3 linked regions of the Macaca fascicularis genome follow. The main gene of each other region encodes a partner of the protein of the gene in region 3 in a complex. Links are inferred from orthologs where the notes say so. Each region holds a gene or a part of one and is shown on either strand. Other genes may lie near its edges.

Region 1 (7,771 bases), on a different chromosome or scaffold from region 3:
GCAGCCCAGCCCCAGAGCCCGTGTTCCCGGCGGAGTGACCCTGGCCCTCAGGCCGAGTCCAGCATGACCTCAGCCTCAGAATGACCTGGAGCCTCAGTGCAGCAACTGGCACTTCAAGTGAAGCTCTGAGTGTCCCACAGCCTGGTGGCAGGGCCTGGAGTCTCCTTCCTGGGCCCAGAGGGAAGGACCCCACACCTTTTGCAGACAGGGTCCCCCAAGCCCCAAGGGTCACTCCCCTGACCCAGGAGGTTCCTTTGCTCACACAACTTATGTTCCCGCTGTTACATGCCTGCTCCTCTGAGCACACCCGTGTTCCTGAGTGCCTTTGCCATGGGCAGCACAGCCTCCTGGGCTGGGCACACGTGTGGCCGCCGCATGCACAGACCCCCATACCCCTGGCTGGAAGGAGGCTCTCTCTGGCCAGACCTAGCTTCCAGTGGCATTGCTCTCCCCAGCACACCCCTGGCCCCACAGGATGAGGAGCACATGCCCCCTCTACTTCCATACCTGGAGCTGCTGTCCCTCCTGCTGTGGATGGCTAGGACCAGAACCAGTCTGCTCTTGCTGCCCCGCGGGGTCAGGGCTTTGTTCTGGGCCTGCAGGGCCCTCTGGGTGATGCCCCTGTCCTTGTGGAGGACGTTCCTACCCTGCACTCTTCGCCTCACTGAGGAGATCCCTGGAGTCCCAGCTCTGTCAAGAGTGTGCAGGGGCTGCTAAGGACCAGGGCGAGCCCACAGCCCCTCTCTCTCCGCAGTGGCCAGGTGGTGCTCTGGCCGCAGGCCGCTGGGAGCATGGCACCCTCCTTTCCATCTCACTGAAGGTGGCCCTGGCCCCCCACACCCAGAGCCACCTGCAGCACCAGGGAAGGGGAGAGGTGCCGAGACTGCCCTCAGTGGGGTTGGGGGGCACACAGGCAGCCTCCATTTGGGAGGAGGGAGGGGCCTCCTTGGAGAGCCAGGGGGTGCCCAGCACCAGGAGCAGAACCAACCGCTTCTATGGGAAGGGGCTGCTGAGACAGGAGCAGGAGATGGCAAGGGAGGGGCTCCTCCTGGGCAGAAAGGCTCCTCCCTGCGGCTGTCGATCCCGTGGTGTGCTCCTCGGTCCTGTAAAGTGCTGGTGCCCACTCCCTTTCTAAGTTTTCTCCTGGACACAGCTGCTGACGCCTTCACTGCTCTAGAGCATCCTTAATCTCAGACCCAGGGCCTTGGACCCGGCTCGGGGGTCCTGCCCAGGGCATGGACAACCGGCTCCTGTACGACACCAGGCCCCCAATCCTTCCAGGCCAGCCCAACCCCACTGGTTCCCACCTTCCTGGGCAGCAAGAGGCTGTTCCGTAGTTCCATGGCCTCACCATGACCACAGGCTTCCTGGGCTGGCGGCTCACAGGAGGGCTGGAGGAATGTGGGGTGGGGAGGTGTATTGATCTAAGAACCAAAACCCTGCTGCCTGGCATCAGAAACTTAGAGGCCTGGAGGGCAGAAGGCCAAAATCCCATGCCCCCTCTGGAGGCTCTGGGGGAGGGCCTTTCCCTGCCCCTTCCTGCGTCTGGCTGCCCTGCAACCCCTGGTGTTTCTTGGCTTGTGGCCTCACCACTTGCGACTTCCTCCGCTTTCATATGCCCGCCCCCGTCCGGGTGTCTGTCCTTTCTGTCTCTTACAAGGACACTCTCACTGGACTTGAGGCCCCTCAAATCCAGGATGGCCTCGTCCCCATCCTTACCATAATCACATTGACAAAGACCTATTTCCAAACGAGATCACATTTGAAGCTCCAGGCAACATGAGTTTGAGGGGGACAGTATTCAGCCGCTACAGAGGGCAGACACACACACAGGAGATGAGAAACGGGGGTGGGCAGGGGCTCGGTGAGGCCCAGGTGTGCCAGCTGAGGTCACAACTAGGCAGGATTCCAGGACACCCAGTGCCTGGAAGTAACCGCCGCCCAGGCCCCTCTGCCAGCTGCCCATGGAGCTGAAGTGGCCTGCCAGGGAGTGGCCCTGCTGGGGCTGTGGCCGCATGCAGGCAGCCTTGGCCAGGCCCAGGAGTGACTGCAGGTCGTGGACCAGGCACTGGGCAGGAGGGTCAGCTGCAGGGTGACTGTTTCTCCCCACCTCTGCCACACAGCATCCTGCCCACCCCTCCCTGCCCCAAGCTGGAGGCTTCCTGGAAGGCAGAATGCCAGGGGCTGGGCTGGGTTTGGAGCCAGAGGTGGGGCCACAGCCCCCTCTCCTCTCAAGGAAGATGGGAGCTTCCCCATCCCCTGCTCCCCCTTCTCAGCTGCTGGCCCCCATTCTCCGTGGGGGCTTCCCACTCCTCCAGGCACCCCCCGGCGAGGGGTCTCTTCTCCCTCTGGGGTCCTCGTTTGTCTCGTGGGCCAGGGGGCCGCGCACACGCCTCCTGGGGTTCCTGGGCCAGTCCCTGGCCCAGGGAGGCTGCAGCCTGCCTAGGAGCCGCCGGGACCCCCGCCCTGACCCCCACCTCCCTCGCAGTACGGCATCAAGAAGAAGGAGGAGCGCGAGGCCGAGGCGCAGGCCGCCATGGAGGCCAACTCCGAGGGGAGCCTGACGCGGCCCAAGAAGGCCATCCCGCCGGGTTGTGGGGACGAGGTCGAGGAGGAGGACGAGAGCATCCTGGACACCGTCATCAAGTACCTGCCCGGGCCGCTGCAGGACATGCTCAAGAAGTAGCCCCGCGCGGGACAGCGGCCCCGCGGAGCCCCGCCCCTCCCCCCTGCAGACCCTCCGCGGAGGCCCCCAAGGGACGAGCAGAGTGCAGCCCCTACGCCGATATAAGCCATAGCCCCAGGCCCGCCCTGCCTGCGCCTGCCCCCTCTCTTACCCGAGGGGCGTGCGCCCCCAGGACCCCCCAGTCCGCCCGGTGCTCCTCTGCCCGCCGGTGGCTGGAGCCCCATCGCCTGGGACGCCCCTTCCTCTTGCCGTTTACCGCCCACCCAGCAGCGCCCGAGGCCAGGGCCGCCGGAAGGGCAGCCCCGCGACCACCCCTGTGCACTCATTAGCGGCGGTGGGCGCCTGTCGGGCCCGCACTCAGGAGCACAGCCATAGCAGATGGGGGGGTGCGGGCGGGGCGGGGGCGGCGGGGCCTGGGCCCCCCTCCCGCGCGCGGATTCCGGGGTTCGGATCGCGCCGCGGTGAGTGTTCGCGCCCGCACGTGGCCGCTCTCCGCCCCCCAGGCTGCCCCCCTCGCGCCCCTGTCCGTCAGTCTCTGTCCCCATCCTTTCCTCTCCTCTCTGGAAGGTTTTGCTTCTTACGAACGCCACGGCCGTGTTCACTACTAAACTAAAGGAAACAAAGCAATAGGTTTGGGGGACGCTAAGCCCCCCACCCCCGTCACCCCGCTCTTCCCGAGTCCTCGCCCCTCGCCCCCCACCCAGCCTCCTGGCCTCTCCGCCGACGCGGCTGCTGCTTCTCCCTGGGGAGGACCCCTGCCCTCGCCCATTGAACTCTGCACCCTCCACAGGAGCCGCAGAGGCCCGAGGCACCCAGGGGGTCTCCGGACGCTGGAGACCCTGCGACCCTGCCCAGCACCTCCTCCGTGGGCAGCTCCTCGGGTGGGGCCTGCGGGGTTCCCTGCGCGCAGCGGGCGCGAGTGTGGCCGAATCCACCTGGTGGCCCTGCGGGGCGGCCTCCGAGTCCCTGTTTCTCCTCCATTCATGTTTAATTTGCATCACAATTTGTTGAATCTCAGGTAAATGAGGTCTTTGCATTTAATGAGTTTTACCTTGACAGGCGTCGCCTCGCCCCCCAGGCCCTTTCCGTCCACATCACAAATGCATCAAGTCCACACGTGTTTCGGGCCAGGGTTGGCTTGGCATTGACCTTCATGACCTTACATAGCTTTAGAGAAGCCATAACGTTAGACTGCAATACTAACGACCTACGCCCCTCCCGGCAGAGACCACCGCGCCCCTCTGCGCCCCAGCGACGCGGCCCACGGGGACGCCGCTGTCCGTCCTGCTCGCCCTGTGCCCTCTCGCTGACTTCTCCCGGGTCGTGTCTTAAAAAAACTCCTGTTTTCACACCTTTCAAAGCCAGCTCTGAGCAGACAGGGCGTCCTCTCTTAGAACCTGCGCACCCCGTTCCCAGCGCATGGCGCCCGGGGCCGCGAGCTTAGCTTAGACCGTGGTGTCCTCTGTCCGTTTGTCCTGCGCCTGCGCCTCCTCCTGCATGTCGGGGCCCCTGCGTGTGTTCTCTCCGGATGGAATCACAGCCAATAAACACCAGTGATTTCATACCGTGTGGCCATTCCTTCCAGTGGTCCATTCCGCCAGCCGGTGGGAGGACCGGGCCTTCCCCAGTCCATGTTCTTTCCACGGGCAGCTGCAGGGCATCCCACCATTCTCACCCTGCTCCGTCCACTCAGACTCATTTTCCCCAGGCCGTCCAGCCACAGCAACCTCCATCTAAACCGCAGACCTGCGCCTTCAGGGACCTGACCCCAGGTTGGGTCTTCCACGGAACCTCAAAGCCTCTGCCCTCTGCTCTCCCTCCCACCTAGATCCCGACCACGGGCCTGTGCCTCTCCTCAGTTCCACCGGCCCGGGGCCCCAGGTCACCCTGTGCTGCCCTTGCCTCTGCCCAACCAGGAATTCCTGCCCCGACAAGCATCCCCGTGGGACTGTCCCTCCTCCTGAGTCCCAGACTGGGATCCCTGAAGGGAAATGTCTGCCAACTTGGGTTAAGGCCAGAGGAGGTTCCTCACCCCAGCCCAGAGAACAGCCCCTCTGCCTGGTTGCTGGGGGTCCCGCCCACACTCAATCCGCTGGATGCTCAGCCCACCCCTAGCTGCTGCCCACCACTTGCTTCCCCAGAACGTCCTTGTTTGACCTCCATGTTTGGAAGCTGTTAAAAGATGATTCCAGCCGGGCGCGGTGGCTCAAGCCTGTAATCCCAGCACTTTGGGAGGCCGAGACGGGCGGATCACAAGGTCAGGAGATCGAGACCATCCTGGCTAACACGGTGAAACCCCGTCTCTACTACAAAATACAAAAAACTAGCCGGGCGAGGTGGCGGGCGCCTGTGATCCCAGCTACTCTGGAGGCTGAGGCAGGAGAATGGCGTAAACCCGGGAGGCGGAGCTTGCAGTGAGCTGAGATCCGGCCACTGCACTCCAGCCTGGGCAACAGAGCCAGACTCGGTCTCAAAAAAAAAAAAAAAAAAAAAAAAAAAAGATGATTCCGGCCAGGTGCGGTGACTCTGGCCAGGTGCGGTGGCTCAGGACAGGCACGGTGGCTCATGCGTGTAATCCCAGCACTTTGGGAGGCCAAGGTGGGCAGATCACGAGGTCAGGAGATGGAGACCATCCTGGCTAACATGGTGAAACCCCGTCTCTACTAAAAATACAAAAGAAAAAAATAGCCGGGCATGGTGGCATGCAACTGTAGTCCCAGCTACTTGGGAGGCTGAGGCAGGAGAATCGCTTGAACCTGGGAGTCGGAGGTTGCAGTAAGCTGAGATTGCACCACTGCACTCCAGCCTCGGCGACAGAGCGAGACTCCATCTCAAAAAAAAAAAAAAAAGCGAAGATGATTCCATGACATTTGTTAAAGCTTGGTGAGGAAGGCTTTGCTCAGGACCAGCGCCATAGGTACAGGGACCATGCAATAGGGCTTGCAATGGGTGTGTTGCCAAGGAGCAGAGTGGGCTCAGTGGACAGAAGATGACTGAGGAACATCAAGGGTTGGGGGATTCTGACTAACCCCATCTAACTGGATTCTAGCTGGAGACAGGCAGGGCAATCAGACAGACCCGTCAGGCGGTGGAGGATGAGGACCCCAATTAAATCTCCAGGATGAGGGTTTGTTGCTAAACTGACCTAGCCAGATTCTTTGCTAAAACAGAATTTTACAAGGAAGTGGGCCAATGGGCCTACCAGAAGATTCAGGAAGTTAATTAAAGTTTGACCACACAAAAAATCTTTGTCAGGAGCCCTCTCTAGGGAGCAGCATGTCTGGGTCTCCTGTAATCTTCCTGACGCTTCTGGCTGGGAATGCCCCAGGGAGCTGCCCAGTCCCAGGGCAGGAGGACCCCATGTGCCCTGCCCCCAGGCCGGGCCCTCCTGGATGCCAGGTGGGATCTGGGAGGGAATGTGCTCTCCTCCAAGCCCATGGAGGGGTGTATCCTGCTCTTCCTCCTGCTGCCTCTGGGGAAGTGTGGACCCCAGGCACCACCAAATTGCCCAGGGTGAACTCTCCCCTGCCGAGTAGGCAGCAGCTGGCCCCTCTTCCTCCCTGGAACTGAAACTCAGTGTCTTTGCACCCACCCCTGTGCCTGTGGCTGCTCCCCAGCAGGGCTGCTCTTAGAAGGCCACCTCAACATCCAGCCACTGCTCGGCCTCCATCCTCCCCCAGCCTCCCATTTCCCACCCATAACCTGGTCTGGACCCCCTTGCAAGCCTGAGCAGCAACTTGGACGTGCCAGGCAACGACCCAGGCAGCTTTCCCTCTGAGTCTTTTTTTTTTTTTTTTTTTTTTTTGAGACGGAGTCTTGCTCTGTAGCCCAGGCTGGAGTGCAGTGGCCCGATCTCAGCTCACTGCAAGCTCCGCCTCCCGGGTTTAAGCCATTCTCCTGCCTCAGCCTCCGGAGTAGCTGGGACTACAGGCGCCCGCCACCTCGCCCGGCTAGTTTTTTGTATTTTTAGTAGAGACGGGGTTTCACCGTGTTAGCCAGGATGGTCTCGATCTCCTGACCTCGTGATCCGCCCGTCTCGGCCTCCCAAAGTGCTGGGATTACAGGCTTGAGCCACCGCGCCCGGCCTTTTTTTTTTTTGAGACGGAGTCTCGCTCTGTCGCCCAGGCTGGAGTGCAGTGGCGAGATCTCGGCTCACTACAAGCTCCACCTCCCGGGTTCACGCCATTCTCCTGCCTCAGCGTCCAGAGTAGCTGGGACTACAGGCGCCCACCACCATGCCCAGCTAATTTTTTTTTGGTATTTTTTTAGTAGAGACGGGGTTTCACCATGTTAGCCAGGATGGTCTGGATCTCCTGACCTCATGATCCGCCCACCTCGGCCTCCCAAAGTGCTGGGATTACAGGCATGAGCCACCACGCCCGGCTCCCTTGGAGTCTAGACCAGCCCTTCCTACAGCTGGGTCAGACCTGAGCTTCTCCTGGATCCAGCTCTCACCTCAGGTGATGGGGTCCGAGTCCTCCTGGGAAAGGCACTCCTCCCCAGATGTTTACTGTGCCCCTGTGATTTGTGGCGCTCTGTTCTAGGGGCTGGGAATACTAGTCCCTCCCTCCTGGAACTGGTTTTCCTAGTGATGGAAGGCAGATGATAAACATGTAAGTGGTGGTGTCTGCTCTGGAGGAAAATCGAGCAGGACAGGGAGCAGAGAGCAATGGTGAGGGTTACTATTTCATGAGTGGTCAGGGGGCCTCTCTGTCAGAGTGATGTGCACAGACCCGGAGGAAGGCGGGTGTCCCCTGGGAGAGCATTCTGGGCAAAGGAACAGGCATTCAAGAGCCAGGAGACAGCGCTGCCTGGGTGCCACCAACGTGGCCCTGACCCCAGGCACTGGCTGGGCACCACCCTGCCCCGGGAGTCTCCTTCTGAATGTTTAACTGTATCTTGAACACAGCTGGGCTGGCTTTCAAGCTCCAGACACGGCCTCCTCCCCAGGCCAGGAAGCCATCTCTCCTCTGACCGCCTCCTCCCCCAGGGCCCCTCCTCTCCAGCGCCCTGCACTGGGGGCAGTAGCGGCTACTGAATCACAAGCCACCTGACTATGAGCTTTCAGGACAAATTCTAAGAGGC
Region 2 (8,215 bases), on a different chromosome or scaffold from region 3:
AACCAAGTCCCCACTATCCCCTTCGGAGATTAACGGGGTGGTGGGGTTGTGAGGTGCGTGGAGTTCCCTCAAACTCCTATCCCCTCCTCACCTTGACGTCCCCCCACCCCCAGGATGAATGATAAATGACCTTGGCTGGGGCTGGAGAATGGATGCTGCCTCAGTGTGCGCGCCTGGACTCGGGTGGGTGGGGTGGGGGGGGGGCAGGGGAAGAAGGGCAGGTGAAGGATGGAGGGAAGGGGAGTGAAGAATGGACATACTGGGGAGACAGAAATGGAGAGCGGCCAGGTGTTGGGGGCATGGATGGCGGGGGCTGGCGGCAGTTGCTCCAGGGTTGGGGGAAGGGGTGTTGAGTGAAGGTGGGCACTTGTCTAGCAGCAGGACCAAGGGTGGAGGAGGTGCTCAGAGCAGGGATTTAGTCAGTTTTGGGGGCTTTTCCCTTATTCCGGAGCTGAGGCAAGATGGGGTGTGGGGGGGTCCCTGCAAATGCTGATAGGGGCGGTCTCTAAGTCTGTGCGTGCGGAGGTCTCTCCCTGCGTCCCCCTCTCTGCCTCTCCGTATTCCTCAGTGTGCATTCTCAGCTGACACCCTCATTTTTATCCCTCAGAACTGTGGGTGCTCCCATCTTCCTAACCCTGGGTAGGATGTGGGGAGGGGAGGCACAGCCTTGATGGTCCTGGGTGGGGGCTGAGGTTCAATGACCCCGCTGTCATGGGGAAGGGGTGCTCCCGCACCTCCCACATTCTACCCTGCCCCCGCGGACGTTTTGATAAGTGATTGCTTTTTAATGACCTTGTCACCTGAGCTAGGAAGGCCTGGGGATCTGGGTGGCCCCCAAAGTCAGGGACTTTGACTGGGAGGAGGGTGGGGGGTTCTGGACCCTCCTCTGATCCAGGGCTGGATGAGCTGTTCTGAAAGGAAGCATTTGCTCTGGAGTCCCCCGCCTGTCTCCACCCTCTGCAGAAAATCTCCTGGGCACATTTTTTCCTGTCAGGTGAAGTCAGCCAGCCTAGGACCTTGTAACCCTGAACCTTGTCTCCTTTAACCTCCACTTCTCCAAGTCTTGTCTCTCTCCCCCAGGCTTAGCCACCCTGTGCTGTTTTTGGGGCTAAAAATAGCACCACTTCCTCACCAGCTCAAAGAATTTGTCTTCTTTCTCTCTCTCCTGACCTCCTGGGCTTGCTGGCCCTGAGGGAGCTGACTGCTGAGCCCTCATATCCTGCTGCGGTTGTGGAAGGCTTCTCTGCCCTACATGCCCCTCCCAGGGGGAAATAGGGTCAACAAACAGAGAGTATGGCTCCTGGTGGGTCCTGCCTCCTTCAGGGCTGGAGGGGAGATCCTGGTTAGGAAAGAGAGGAAAGCTAGCAAATTGCCATGCGCTGAGGGGATTCCACAGTTCCAGCGCTTTCATGGGGGATGGTTGGGCCCTGAACAATGAAGAAAAGGTGACAGGGGTCACTGCTTCTGGTCACCGTGGTCCACTGCTTACATCTGTCCTGAGGGGTAAGGCCCTGCTTGCCAGTGCTTCTCTCTGAACCACATAGCATTGCTTACCCTCTTCTACCAGGGTGTGTGTGTGTGTGTGTGTGTGTGTGTGTGAGAGAGACATTTAATGAAGGCTCTGGATGGGTGGGAGCACCGGAAATTTTTGGGGGAATGATTTCTGATCAGAATCTAGGCCTGCTTCCTCTCCTCCTATGAAGGAAGGGGGGCTATCCCATGCCTTCCTCTGGAGAACGTCTTTTTTTGGGGAACACCCAAACCCCCTTTATTCTACATCCACCTCCTACGCAATGCGGTGTTTGTGGACTCCTTCTTCCTTGACTCCTGGAGGAGGAGTGGAAAGGATTAAGGGGGATTAGGAAGGGAGGCCCTGGAGGGATGGGACGCAACTGTAGGCCTTAGAACCTCATGTTGGAAATGCATTTGACAGTCATTTCCATTCTCACCCCCATCCGTGGAAAGGGGACCCATCTATGACATTCTGAAGCAAGGTGGCAGTGGACAGTCATCACCTCTTTCTTAGCTTTCCATCTTTCCTCCACTTTACTTGGGTTCCAGGTCCCCCTTTTCTGGGTCTCCCCTTGTTTTTCCGGAGGTAGTTAATGTGGGCCCAGCTGCTGGAATTAGTTGAAACACAGACAGGGGGTCTTGGGACTCTGTTTGCAAGGATGCTGGGCAACAGCATCTAAGTATGACCCCGCTGTTGTCCCTTGCTGCTTCTTGCTTCTTTCCCACTTTTCAACATCATAGGAAGGAAGAAAACTAACATAGAGCATGTACTGTGAGATTACATTCTCACATCAACTCCAAGAAACAGTCTCCCAATGTAATTATCCCCAATTAAAGTATATGGACTCTGAGGCTTAGGGAGGTTAACTAGCCTGACCGAGATCAGTTAGTAAGCGGCAGAGTTGGGATTTCAACTTAGGTCACCCCTAATGGTCATGTGCTTTGCCCTGAACCAGCATTCTCCTTGCCAGCGTCCCTTCCTGCTGCTCACCCTAAAGAGCATCCAAGACGGCTTTCGTTTGGGGACCTTATGAGGTAGTATAGGGCATTTCACTATATTACTGTCACCACAAAAATAATAGTTAATATTTATTCATCATTTTTAAGTGCTAGCTGACTTACGTTAAGGAGCACAGATATATCATTCAACCCTTACTTTCCCCTTTTAAAATAAGAAGAAACTGAGGCTTGGTCCCTTAGCTAGCAATTGCCAAAACAGGAAGTCAAACCCATGTCTTTGTGACTCTGGAAGCTGAGCTTTTACCCATTAGACTATGTTGAGAGAAAATCCCTCCTTGTTGAAGCCTGTAAACATGGGACCTGAAGGAAGGACAGTGGAAGCCCCTGCCTTCAGATGCCATCAGTGGAGGGAAGGCCACAGGTTGGAGGGCTTGTCCTCTTACACATCCTTCTCAACTCCATCCCCAGTAAGAAACCCAGGCAAGACTAAAGAAGGGAATTCTGGTTTCTCATATTTCCTGTTCAGTTCTTTGCAGATTGGTGATAAAGCAAGGGCTGGGCTGGGCTCGGGGGTTAGGAGAAGGGCTCAGAGTAGGTGACTGTGACTTTGGAGCAAATTCCATAGGCCAGGCCTCCAAGGTCAAAGTAAGGGGACTTCTATGCGAGTGACCCGGTTAGCCCAGATAGCCATCCCTTTTTAGTGTGTGAATGGGAGCCTAAAGCGAGAAGACCATCTCTGCACCACATGGTCCAGATGGGGCTCTGGGTTGAGAAGCTTTATATTGGCCTTCTTCACCACCTTAGGACTCACAACTTCCTTTTGCTGTCTGTTATTTTTTCCAGGTCTCCAGAGGCTTGTGGAAGAGAAGTAGGCGACCCTTCCTGAGTTATCCTGGCTTAGCCTCCCAGTCTGGCTCCCCTTCCCCTTCCCATTCCCCTGCTCCTCCTGTCCCTTCGCCATCCACCCAACTGAACTGGGTATAGGTCAAAGTTCCTCTCCTTCCTTTTCTCTCCTAGGCACTCATTGGCTAGGACCTGTTTGCTCTTTTTTTGTGTGCCCAAAGATACTGGAACACACTTCATCTAAGTAACTGTGGGGAGGGGTCTTTTTGACTCTACAAGTCCTTGAGCAAAAAGCTGAAAAAGAAGCAGGAAGTGGAGAAGACCCGGTGAAGTGCCTCAGGGCCCCATCATGGAAGAGGGCTTCCGAGATCGGGCAGCTTTCATCCGTGGGGCCAAAGACATTGCTAAGGAAGTCAAGAAGCATGCGGCCAAGAAGGTGGTGAAGGGCCTGGACAGAGTCCAGGACGAATATTCCCGAAGATCCTACTCCCGCTTTGAGGAGGAGGATGATGATGACGACTTCCCTGCCCCCAGTGATAGCTATTACCGAGGAGAAGGGACCCAGGATGAGGAGGAAGGCGGTGCGTCCAGTGATGCTACTGAGGGCCATGACGAGGATGATGAGATCTACGAAGGGGAATATCAGGGCATCCCCCGGGCAGAGTCTGGGGGCAAAGGCGAGCGGATGGCAGATGGGGCACCCCTGGCTGGAGTAAGGGGGGGCTTGAGCGATGGGGAGGGTCCCCCTGGGGGCCGGGGGGAGGCACAACGACGGAAAGAACGAGAAGAACTGGCCCAACAGTATGAAGCTATCTTACGGGAGTGTGGCCACGGCCGCTTCCAGTGGACACTGTATTTTGTGCTTGGTCTGGCGCTGATGGCTGATGGTGTGGAGGTCTTTGTGGTGGGCTTCGTGCTGCCCAGCGCTGAGAAAGACATGTGCCTGTCCGACTCCAACAAAGGCATGCTAGGTAAGACATGGGGGGCTCCAGCCCTATCCCCTCAAACTCTGGAAACCTCCTTGCTCCTGGAAATTGCTCTTGTCCTTACCACTGGGTTCCCTAGGACCCTGCACCCAAGATGTTCCTGGAGGGCTCAGGGCTCCTCTGCACACTCTTCCCTCACACACTCCCTCTTCTTGGCCTTGGGTCAGAGTGAAGTTGAATGTGAAACAGGGACTTGCAGGAGGGCAGTTGGACTGGGGCTTGGGCCAGTGGTTGGGTGGTGGTCTGCTTTATTCTGCAGGAGGTGGCTGTGGTAGGATGGTCCTTACCATTTAATGTTTCTTCATAGCTTTCCCTCTGGTTATCTTATTCCATTTCACTGATTGGGAAACAAGAAGCCAGTATCCAAACTCCTTGGTATAAATGGGGAGAGTCAGTTTGGGGTGGTTGGGGGAGGGGGAGGGTCCTGGATCTTCTGCCAGAGAAGCTATTTAGACTTTCTCTCACTCAGACGGGAATTTCCAGGGGACAGAATGTACTGTTTGATGACCTTTCCTGACAGGGACTCTGAGGAGGAACCCCCTAGACTCACAGAGAAAGAATCGAGGCCTTACTCTGCCACCAAATTGCCATGGGGTCTTGGACAGGTCTCTTCTTCCTGGGGCTTGGTTTGGACATGAGAAAATATGAAGTTTGGAGTAGATGATTTTAAAGATTAATTCCAGCTTTGGTTTTATGAAGGAAGTGAAAAACAGGAGAGTTTTTGGACTAGAAATATTGAGACTGGGAGGAAGAAAGCATGGATTTTGTGTGGGGGATTTTCTGGGAAGATGAAAGGAATTGGAGCCCCTTTCCCCAGGAACAAATGAGAGCAGTCTTGCTGCTTCGAGGGATCAAAGCAGGGAGAATAGAGAGGACCCTGGGATGGTCTGGGATCCTAGGCACACCCATTCCTCCTTCAAAGTGAGCCAGGGGTAAGGGTGTCACTGTATGTGTGTGTGTGTGTGTGTGTGTGTGTGTGTGTCTCACAGTGAGAAATGAGACAGACCGAAGACAGTGGAGAGTTGTAGGTTCTCCCGTATCTTCATTCCTGCCTTTGAACGCCTGGCCTGCAGAGATGACCTTCTATCTTTGCTCACACCATTCATTTTCTCTCACTTGCTCTAATCTCTGGGTAGACTTAGCTTCTAGAAGTTCTTCAGATCCTTCAGCTCCCTCAGTGCTCATCTCCTGGGAGAACTGAGGTGTGTCTTCTCACGCCCCCTCTGCCTCTGTTTTCCTCCTCCTTCCAGGCCTCATCGTCTACCTGGGCATGATGGTGGGAGCCTTCCTCTGGGGAGGTCTGGCTGACCGGCTGGGTCGGAGGCAATGTCTGCTCATCTCGCTCTCAGTCAACAGCGTCTTTGCCTTCTTCTCATCTTTTGTCCAGGGTTACGGCACTTTCCTCTTCTGCCGCCTCCTTTCTGGGGTTGGGTGAGTGTCCACTTCCTAAGCCCCTTGAGGGCAGTACTGTGCCTTGGTCACTGTTGCATCTTTAGGGCCCAGCACAGTGCCAGGCACACCAAATGCACCTTAAATCTGTGTGAGTTGAATGGATGAATGAGTTCCTTTCTCCCCCAACCATCTTCAGGCCAGCTCCTCCCTGCCCAGGACCTGTCTACTACAGTCCAGAGTGCTGTTCCATGTCGGCCCACTCCTGAGTCCTCCATCCCACTTCTAGTTCCATTTTTGAGCCTGCCTCCACGAAGAGGCCTACTGGGCCTCAGCCCCACCCCTGGACTCCTGTGGACCCAGAGTTACCCCCTACCAGAGTCTACACATTTCCTGCATTCCACAACAAACCTTGCTAACACCCACACCTGCCAGAACCCTGATGCGTTGCCCACACTGCCCCTTCACTTTTGCACGCATGGCAGGCACGCTTACTCTGCCTCAACTCCAAGCTCCTTTCTGGCCGTTCCCACAACATCTGCCCTTGGAGGCTTTTGGGTTGTCTTTTTTCTCTGGAGATTTATTCTCTTTTCTGCAATTACCTTCCCTCCCTTCCAACTCTGTAAGTCATTTTCAAGATTTAAGATTTGCTCTTTCCTTTTCCCTGAGACTTGCTTGCCTGTTTCCCATGGTCCCAAGGATGGGTGCTTGATGGCTGGCCCCCAGGGGAGCTTGTAGGGCTTTTTGTGTGAGATGGAATCTCTTCAAAAGCCTGGAAGACAAAAGGGGCTCAGGGTCCAGAGCAGTGGGGCAGGGGATCAGGACTATGGCCATTTGCTAATGCTGAATTCTTGAAATGTGCTCCAGGATTGGAGGGTCCATCCCCATTGTCTTCTCCTATTTCTCTGAGTTTCTGGCCCAGGAGAAAAGAGGGGAGCATCTGAGCTGGCTCTGCATGTTTTGGATGATTGGTGGTGTGTACGCAGCTGCTATGGCCTGGGCCATCATCCCCCACTATGGTGAGCAGCCCCCCGGAATCCACCCCAGGTTATCTCCCTCCTCCCTCTTCTGTGCTCCCTGTGGTGGGTTCCCTTAGCCTCTGGCCTCTCTGCTGATGCTGTCACTCTCTCCCTGCCAGGGTGGAGTTTTCAGATGGGTTCTGCCTACCAGTTCCACAGCTGGAGGGTCTTCGTCCTCGTCTGCGCCTTTCCTTCTGTGTTTGCCATTGGGGCTCTGACCACGCAGCCTGAAAGTCCCCGTTTCTTCCTAGAGGTGATGGAGCTGAGCTGTGTGGGGTGGGGTGGGGTGCAGGCTGTGGAGTGTGGAGAGCAGCAGGGGCTTCTGTGTTCAAACACCCACTGGGGTTTGATTTGATCCTGTTCAGCTGCGGGCCTTCCTCACAGCGTCCATTCTCTGGGGGACTTTATCTTGCATCTTTTGCCTTGGAATGTATCCCTGAGGGGTTCTTGGGTGGAGAAACCAGGGGACCTCTTCACCCTTGGATGACTTAAGATTTTGCAGGGAAGGGCCTTGGCCCTGTCCTGCATTTACAGCTCAAGAGACATTCCCACCCCCTACACCTTCCCCTCCTAACCCCAGCAGGATTAGGTCTTTGACTACATGCTTGCCCATCATTTCCCTTACCTATGGTTGCCTGTGCTTGCCTTTTTCCCCTGGACAACACTCCCCACCCCCAACCTGCAGCTCTTGCCCAGGTCTGGTCGTCTTGCTATACCTCAGCTCGGGGCTCTTTCAGAGTGGGCAGTGCATGCTCATAGGTCAGGGCTTGGTGGTGGGATTGAGGGCCGGGAGCCATTTAGTGTCCTGTGACTACAGAAGCCAGGTGGGAGGGAGGGGATCTATAACTCTGGTCTGGGTCAGGTAGGGGCTGACTTGGATGTGGGGATTGTGTCTTTGGCTCTAGAATGGGAAGCATGATGAGGCCTGGATGGTGCTGAAGCAGGTCCATGATACCAACATGCGAGCCAAGGGACATCCTGAGCGCGTGTTCTCAGTAAGCCACAGCCCTCCCGACTCAGACCTCCGCGCCCTGCAGCCCCAGCCCCTACCTGGCCCCTCTCTGAGTACCCCTGACCTCAGACCACACTCTACCATAAGGAGATTTTCAGGGTATCATATCCACCCCCTGCTTCCCATTTTGCTAATGCAGGGGAAACTGAGGCACCTGGTGGAGGTTGGGAAACACAGGATGTGTGACTGCCCACCCCTTCTCTTGACCCCAGGTAACCCACATTAAGACGATCCATCAGGAGGATGAACTGATTGAGATCCAGTCGGACACAGGGACCTGGTACCAGCGCTGGGGTGTCCGGGCCTTGAGCCTAGGGGGGCAGGTAATGGCTGACGGGGTGGTAGAGAGAAGGGAGTGGGGGAAGTGGAGAAGAAGGCAGGACTGAAGTCCATGTGTGTGGGTGATGGGTGAGCTGAAGGGAGGTGGGAGGGCAGAAAAGTGGGGATCTATGGGTGCTAGAATTTAGTATAGCCAAGGTCTAACTTTGTCTGGT
Region 3 (8,215 bases):
CCCAGCACTTTGGGAGGCTGAGATGGGTGGATCACGAGGTCAGGACATGGAGACCATCCTGGCCAACATGGTGAAACCCTGTCACTACTAAAACTACAAAAATTAGCTGGGCGTGGTGGCAGGCGCCTGTAATCCCAGCTTCTCGGGAGACTGAGGCAGGAGAATCACTTGAACCTGGGAGGCAGAGGTTGCTGTGAGCCAAGATCGCACCACGGCACTCCAGCCTGGCAACAAAGCGAGACTCTGTTAAAAAAAAAAAAAAAAAAAAAAAAAAAAATCCTCAGGGACCCAACACCCTTACTTTTAAGTGCAAATACAGTGCATTGGGATGGTGTATTTACATCAGCCTGAGACTGTGGGCTCCAGCATCCAGTACAGTAGGCACTTGATAAATGTTAAATTTAGTGGAGGAAAAATGTTTACTTCTTTCCCCTAGCAATTGCAGTAGGCATAGAATCTAGTGTATTATGCTGTCCTCTGAAACTGGGGTTAAAATAGTCTTGTTTTCAGTCCCATTCTGGAGAAGCTATGTGACTTGGGTTCTGGAGTGAAAACCCCGAAGGACACATGTTGGGCAAAGTGAAGAGCCTCAGAGTTTGCCAGATGAACTGATGACAAACAAGCATAGAGAAACACATGTTGAGAATGACACTGCCCAGGAACACCACGCGGTCATGGCCAAATGCTCCCGGGTGTTGTCGTCCCTCCAGCCATTCTGTATTTAGATGTGACTCAGACGCTGGCATTCAGTGCAGTTTTCTTTAGCTGTTGCTGCTTCCAGGAGTCCCCCAAAGTCAACAGGCCACTGGCTTACCACCAGAGTCAGGCAAGGAAAAGAGTGGGAAGGCAGCAACATCAACAGGAAATAAAACATTTTTATTGAATATCTGTGTAATATGTTAAGTCATTTTTAACAACAATCAGAAAACTACTGTGGAATTCACTACACAAAGTGAAACAAAATTTAAATCACCTCGTCAAAAATGAAGGTAAAATACAGCTGAAGTAGTTGGCTCGCAGGCCACGAGCCATATGGCAGAAGAAAACACCCCAACATTTCTACAAGATACAGGGAAAACCCACACATAGAAACACTCAAGCAGGCAGTAAATATACACAAAGGCAACTAGGATCTTTCTAGAGCATCGGATTCTAATACTTTACACAGCTTTGTCAGAAGGGTACATGTGGCTTATTTGAGGATGAATCTTGGTCATAAAGCAGGTTCCATCACTGACTTGTGAAAGATGGCATAGTACCAACTAATTCTATGGTGACAATCCCATTTCTGGCAGTGTTGCAAGAGAATGCATTAGTAGTACTTTAATGCAAGAAATAATGTATATTCAGCAGCTTGAACCTGCTTGTTTTAAAGTGTGGTTTCATTGTGTACAACTTAAAGCTGAATACAGTGAAATTAAATGTTTTTTGTGGTATTTAAATATTTTTTAAAAGCCAGTCAACTCCCTCTCTTTGGTAGGGTTTGGCCCTTTAAATTGGAAAGAGTCTTGTTTGAATTTTCTGTTCAAACCGTTATTTAATTTCACATTCTGACTTGTGTGTATTTTCTATTGCCTATGTGTTTAAAGAAGTATGGACCATCAGCAGACGGTGATGTTATTTTCCTTTTATACTTTATGTCTGTGCCAATTGTAAAGCGTTTGCTGTGTCTGGCCTAAAAGGCAAAAGTGCCCCTTCTTTGATAAGGAAACAGTAACGACAGGAATTCCAGTTTTATTGGGAAACAGCCAACCCCATGTTCAAAGCCTACCATCAGCCCTTTTTGAATTCTCTTTAGTTTTTGAAAAGACATGGTGTGATATCATGAAGACTGAACATGAGGCCAATGCTTAGTTTTCCTCCATTTTGTTTTGGTATTTGTGAAGACAAACTTTCATTTCACAGCATCGTTACTGTCTGTGGCCTGGGAATTAAAATGGGTCACAGAAGTGAATGGGAGAAAAGGCTAGATGCAGCGTGAGATAATAGGCTGCCCTTCCACTAAGTGGTTGTCTACCATAGTGGGGAAAAATATGGAATATTGCACAGTGCTTGACAAAATGCTGTGTTCCACCCCATTCTATGTATCTTCCTTGTCCTATGCATAGCTTTTCAGTTCTGGATTGGTCCTTTGTAATGAGAACTGTTTGTGCTACACACACCTTGGGCAGTGCAGTAGAAGGGAATGGCAGTATTGTTACAATATCACTACGGAATAAATTGAGTGCTATCCACTGAGGAAACTACGGGTCTAAGCACACACGGCAGTCACAGTGTTACACAGAGCAGTCCTTTAAGACTCTTATGGAATGACTAGTAGCTTCATAATAGTGCCATTTACTACATAATAACATTGAAAACGTTTAAAAACTCCTCCTAAATCAAGCATCTAGTATACCTAAGAGGTTGCTTCAGTTTTCTAGAACTTGTTCTTGGTTTGTTTCACCTTTTTTTAAAGGACAAATTAAAACTTATTTAAGTAAAAAGAGCATATAAAAAGATCACTAGCTGTCTGTTTTGGCTTAATTGAAGTGCATTCAGAACTATGGCTAATTGTTGTTGGTTTTTTTTTTTTTTTTTTCATCTTTTGATGGGATTACAATACTGTCTGTTTACCACAAAGTAATTTTGTGTAATAAGCACAGATTGCTGTGTTAAAAATATCCTGCATTCCTTCTAATCTGGTTTTATATAATAAAATATTTTGTTACAAACTCTAATGTGCAAACCTTTTGGAATTACGATAGGTGTGAAATCTGGAACAGAATTCACAGGATGCACATTTTGTATAAAGGTGATAACGGAGAGCTACTTTTTTCTTTTTAAATAGTCAGGCAATAGTTCATAAATGTTAACTTATCCCCTTAGCTTCTTCTCCCCCAACCCCAAACAAATGTGTGCACACCACACACACACACACACACACACACACACACACACACACGGAACACCTTGTTGTTATTCTACAAGGAGTAATATGAAATCATTGACTCCTGTTCAGTTGCTTCCTCAAATGTAAGAGTGAAGCCATTATTTTAGCTTTGTAAATATGTACAGACAGATGCTATTCTGGTTTGTGGCTATGCTTCCTTGAGGTCAGCCTGGATGCTGCTGCTCAGATCATGCTATTTTGCCTGTGAAGGAATTCTACAAAATTGGATTCACCCACCAAGTATGTGGTGTAAGTTTATCTTGGTTCTCAAATGATTGAATAGAAAGCTCAGGTTTAAGTTGTCCTTTAAGATGTCAGTTTAACTCTACTAGTGCCTTACGAGTTGATATTTTTGCTGGAATGCAGACGATACTATATTACCATATAATATATTATCAGCTCTCCTATATCTCAGTCAATTTACATAGTTTAAAATAGAACATCTTATTAAAAACATCTAGATATACACAGATTAGGAAACACAACATACAAATACACAAACTAGAAATAAATCTTTAGCATACTGGTATATACAACAGTGTGATACAATAAATAATTTCAGTCATGCTCTATCTACACATCATATTGCTTAAAAGAAGAGTAGATTTGGAGGGCAGTGGTATGATGAAGGACTTAGGGGCTCTCTACATTTAAATCTGTGCAAATTAAAACAGGATTCGAAGTACCACTGAATTGTGTTAAGAATGCATGGCTGGAAAAATGAAAGGACCCATATTACTGAGGTATTTACAGATACTGGCTAAAGAGCACTATATGGGCAAATGCAGAAAGGCTTCTTCTTTCCTTTACTTCTTGACGGCCAGCATGGCATCGACTTCCTCCTCTACCTGCAGGGTGTGCCACTGGGCAATAGGTCGCCTGGGGTTGGCCAGCATATCTGACCAGTGTCGCAGCTCCGCGCCGGTGCTGTTGTAGCCCACAAAGACTTTGCCGATGGCATCGTTCTTGCCAATCTTGTCATAGTCCAAAACAGTTACCACCACCTGCACTTTCTGAAAGAAGACATGAAACGAATATGAATCATCTAGCTCTAGAGACAAGGCCCGACTATAAAGCTTCCTTGAGCACTAAAGAATTGGAAATAAAAGAATCAGTCTCCAAGCACTAGGATGAGGATGAAAATGACTTGAATGTAGAAACTTGAGTCCAAATTTCCTTTTTCCATTACTATATCATAATTGTCACCATCATCATCTTACTACTCAAACGTTAATTTTTGTTATATATGTTGCACTGTCTTTTACATGAATGAACTCAGTTACTTCTCATAATAGATCCTATTAATATTGCCGTTATACGGATAAGGATGCCTGAAGCTCTGAGAAGTTAGATAACCTGTCTGAGGTTGTTTAAGGAAGGAGTTGTTTGGTTTTCAGAGCCTATGCTGTAAACCTCCGTGCCATGGGGTCTGTGTCAACTTGTGCTAACCTCTAAATTCATTTGCTTCAATTGTCTCATCAGTGAAAGTTCTAGCATTGGTGTTCAGGCCACTCTATTTGATTACAATTCCCAAAGCAACCATGTGCAATAATCCAATTTCAAGGGGGGGACAGCATGTTACAAAAAAATTAATGTAGAATTTCAACTAATCGTATGACTGTGAGCATAAAACATGACATTATAGTGAAAGTCTTTAAAAACTACTAATAAAGATTTTTTTTCTCATCCATATATTCTCTTAGTAAACATTTACTGAGTAACTACTATGTATCTGGCATTGATAGCAAATGTAAATATCATTTTAGGCTACATAGGATTTACTTCAATGATTCCATCAGATTTTGAAAGTTTATTTGATAACTTCCTTTTCTGAATGATTAAACTGATGAAAGCAAACCTGTACTATTATGGTATAAAAGATATACTTTTTAAAAGCACATTTCATTTCTACTTTCTGAGTAATTAATTTACTTAGCAGAATATGTGATGGTTTCAATCTAACAGCTGAGTGTAAGGATAAGAGTTTAAAATAAATGGAATATATAACATTTATTGCCAGAGTTAAAAGTAGCAGAAAATATAATTATAAAAGCTAGGGCCAGATGAAGAGCCAGCTGAGTTAGAGCCCTTTAGTGGACTTTATATGCTGAAGACTGATTTATTATATTAATGAAATGAGAAATGTCATTGATACACAGCTTCAGAACAGAGAAAGCACTCACTTCTGAAAGTGGAATTTAGAATGTAAAATGCAACACATTGGCAATAAAAGAGACAAACTTCCCTGGGAGTGATTCCATTGTTAAAGGAATTAACTATCCACTGGGTAGTTTCTGGAAGCAAGAAGAGGGCTATATTGATTCTTAGAACTTGTCCTAAGCAAACTTATCAGGAAGCAATCATATTGTAATGAATGGGGCGGGGCACATGATACACAAAGGCAACAGAAGTTTTTAGAGTTTGATTATTCCACTTAGGAACGCATTGATTAGTAGCATTCAAGACAAAATATCCTTGTGAAGCCTTTGGATTAATGTTTCCAGCTGCATATGTAGTTTATTTCTACATTTGGGGGAGGAAGTCTGACATTTTCACATGCATTTAGAAATTCGCGTATTTTGCTTCTTTCATAATACATTTCATAGGGATAGAGAAAGACAGAAGAACAGGCAGATTGTCTTATAACCTCAGGATAAGGGAAACTTAAACCCCTATTTTAGCATGTGAAATACTCAATTATTTTTTTCTAGGAAAAGGTAAAGACTAGAAAAGTTGCCACCTATAAAAAAAGGAAAAAAAAGGAACAAACTGACTCAAGGAGTACAGAAAGAGGGATACAGCCAAAGGAATGCTCATTGTTTCCATGTCTAATGTACTCTGTATTGGGCTTAGTTTCTGTCTGTCCTGACAAAATGTTATTGCCTCTGAAATGCTGCCCCAGAAATCTAACCTATGTGTTATTTCTCATGTGCTTCACTTTCGATATATTTGCATTTTCTGCAGTTTGTAGTTGAAAAGGATATTTATTTTAAAGGCATAGAATTGTAGCTCAATGGGAGTTTTCATCTCAGTGCCTTGCTTTATACTATTTAGTGAAATTAAAAAAATTAAATGCCAGGAGGTGTTAGTTTCCATAGGAATAAGGTCTTAGAACTTTGAGTTCACTGAAGAAATATTGCAAATAAACTGTTGGAAGAAATTGATGTTTTGAGGGTTTGTGAGTGAGTCCAAAGCAAGGGGCCCACTGGTTCAGGCTAGCGAACAAGTTATTGGGAAGAGGGAACCGGTGTTCTCTGCATTTACTTATATAACAGATGTTGAAAATAAATAAGTATGTATAATTTTGACACCATGGGAAAATTTATATGATAAATGTTATATTTAAAGCTATTAACCAATATGAAGATGGTAGAGTTATTGGTTATTTTTGGTAATTTAAGACGCCCTATACTACACAGTAGCTACCAGCCACATCTAGCTGTATCCATTTAAATTTAAATACATGGAAGTTAAATAACTTTCCTTGGTCAAATTAGTGACTGAGGTACTCATTTGCCACCTGTGGCTACCATATTATTGGACAGCATGGATGACAGAATATTTCAATCGTCATAAAATTCTATTAGACAGCACTGATTTGTATACTGATTTAATCTTATGGTTAGATCCATTTTCTAATAAAATGCTAACTTGAAAAAGAAAGGACATTAGCATGTGAATAATAATGATGATGATGATAGGACCGTTTACTGTGTGTTCCTATGTATTGGGCGCTGTTCCAAGTGCTTTTATTGCATAATCTCACTTTGACAAGGACTCTTATCATTCCTACTTTATAGATAAAGAAACTCTAAGCCTTAGTTTTTTTACATATAAAATTGGGATAATAACAATAGTACTTTTCTCACAAAGTTCTTCTAAGGATGAAATAAGATTACATACATAAAGTGGTTAACTTGGACCTAGGCATTTTTTTTAATATATATATATGTCTTTGGATTAATGTTTCTATGAAGAAAGCTAATATAATAGCTATACTTATTTTATATATGTATATATTATATAGCTATACTTATATATATAAAATACATATTTTATATATATATAAAATAAGGTAGCTATATTAGTTTTCTTCATGGAATAAAGCTGTGATTCATTCATAAGATACTGTCTTCTAAGAATAGATTAAAGGTAAATGAAGACACAACTGGGCCTATTAAGGGTGGTATGGCACTATTCACAATAGCCAACATATGGAATTAACCTAGGTGTCCAACAACAGATGAATGGATAAATAAAATGTGGTACTTATACACAATGGACTATGATTCGGCCATAAAAAAGAATGAATCCTGTCATTTGTGGCAGTGGATGAAACTGGCAGACACTATGTTAAGTGAAATAAGCCAGGAACATAAAGTTAAACACTGTATGTTCTTACTCATGTGGAAGCTAAAGAAAAGTTGATATCATAGAATTAAAAGGTAGAACAAAGGATACTAAAGACTGGGAACAGGAAGATAGGGAGAGATTTGTTTAAGGATACAAAATCACAGCTACATAGGAGGAATGAGTTCTAGTGTTCTGTACCACTATAGGATGGCTATAGTTAACAATAACATATGATATAATTTCAAATAGCTACAAGTAGGATATTGAATGTTCCCAAACCAAATGATAAATGTTTGAGATGATAAATATGCTAACTACTCTGATTTGATTACAATACATTATATATATGAAAACATTACTATGTGCCCCATGAATATGTACAACTACTATTTGGCAATTAAAATAAATAAAATAAAATACTAAAGAATATTTGTTATTGCGGACCTTTAGAAGGTTCTTCGTTGTAGGTTTGATGTCTGCTCTTTGTTTCTCCTTCAAGTTATGGGCAAACTTTTACATCACTGAAAATATACACCTGTGCCAATTATTGAATAAAATGTAATAACAGTGTTGTTTCATGCAGTTTGACTCTATGATGCCCATTAAAGATTTGCGAGAAATGGCCCAAAATTATTGGATATGAACTTTAGATTCTTTTTTTTTTTTTTTTTTTTGAGACGGAGTCTCGCTCTGTCGCCCGGGCTGGAGTGCAGTGGCGCGATATCGGCTCACGGCTCACTGCAAGCTCCGCCTCCCGGGTTCACGCCATTCTCCTGCCTCAGCCTCCCGAGTAGCTGGGACTACAGGCGCCCGCCACCACGCCCAGCTAGTTTTTTGTATTTTTTAGTAGAGACGGGGTTTCACCGGGTTAGCCAGGATGGTCTCGATCTCCTGACCTCATGATCCGCCCGTCTCGGCCTCACAAAGTGC

The links.
Region 1: the proteins of SYT1 (region 3) and CPLX1 are in contact, whole or in part, in a crystal structure (PDB 5W5C), measured with the Rattus norvegicus proteins. The link is inferred for Macaca fascicularis from reciprocal best matches to the Homo sapiens genes SYT1 and CPLX1. Residues at the interface, in NP_001028852.2 of Rattus norvegicus: Glu271, Thr383, Gly384, Glu386, Thr406, Leu407, Gln408, Glu412, Met416; in NP_074055.1 of Rattus norvegicus: Val61, Met62, Gly65, Asp68, Lys69, Tyr70, Lys74.
Region 2: the proteins of SYT1 (region 3) and SV2A are in contact, whole or in part, in a crystal structure (PDB 4V11), measured with the Homo sapiens proteins. The link is inferred for Macaca fascicularis from reciprocal best matches to the Homo sapiens genes SYT1 and SV2A. Residues at the interface, in NP_001129277.1 of Homo sapiens: Thr291, Lys314, Lys326, Lys327, Lys328, Glu342, Ser343, Phe344, Ser345; in NP_001315603.1 of Homo sapiens: Asp82, Thr84, Glu85, Gly86, His87, Asp88.

The regions. Positions count from the first base shown.
Region 1 is NC_088379.1:864,117-871,887, reverse strand, and holds the end of CPLX1 (complexin-1), read left to right. Parts: intron 1-2,488; coding exon 2,489-2,686; 3' UTR 2,687-4,248; downstream 4,249-7,771. UniProt on the Homo sapiens protein: Positively regulates a late step in exocytosis of various cytoplasmic vesicles, such as synaptic vesicles and other secretory vesicles.
Region 2 is NC_088375.1:111,363,959-111,372,173, forward strand, and holds part of SV2A (synaptic vesicle glycoprotein 2A), read left to right. Parts: intron 1-3,315; exon of another isoform or gene 3,316-3,340; intron 3,341-3,489; 5' UTR 3,490-3,664; coding exon 3,665-4,286; intron 4,287-5,551; coding exon 5,552-5,732; intron 5,733-6,557; coding exon 6,558-6,709; intron 6,710-6,828; coding exon 6,829-6,962; intron 6,963-7,614; coding exon 7,615-7,704; intron 7,705-7,933; coding exon 7,934-8,044; intron 8,045-8,215. UniProt on the Homo sapiens protein: Plays a role in the control of regulated secretion in neural and endocrine cells, enhancing selectively low-frequency neurotransmission.
Region 3 is NC_088385.1:86,310,277-86,318,491, reverse strand, and holds the end of SYT1 (synaptotagmin-1), read right to left. Parts: intron 3,946-8,215; coding exon 3,739-3,945; 3' UTR 858-3,738; downstream 1-857. UniProt on the Homo sapiens protein: Calcium sensor that participates in triggering neurotransmitter release at the synapse. May have a regulatory role in the membrane interactions during trafficking of synaptic vesicles at the active zone of the synapse.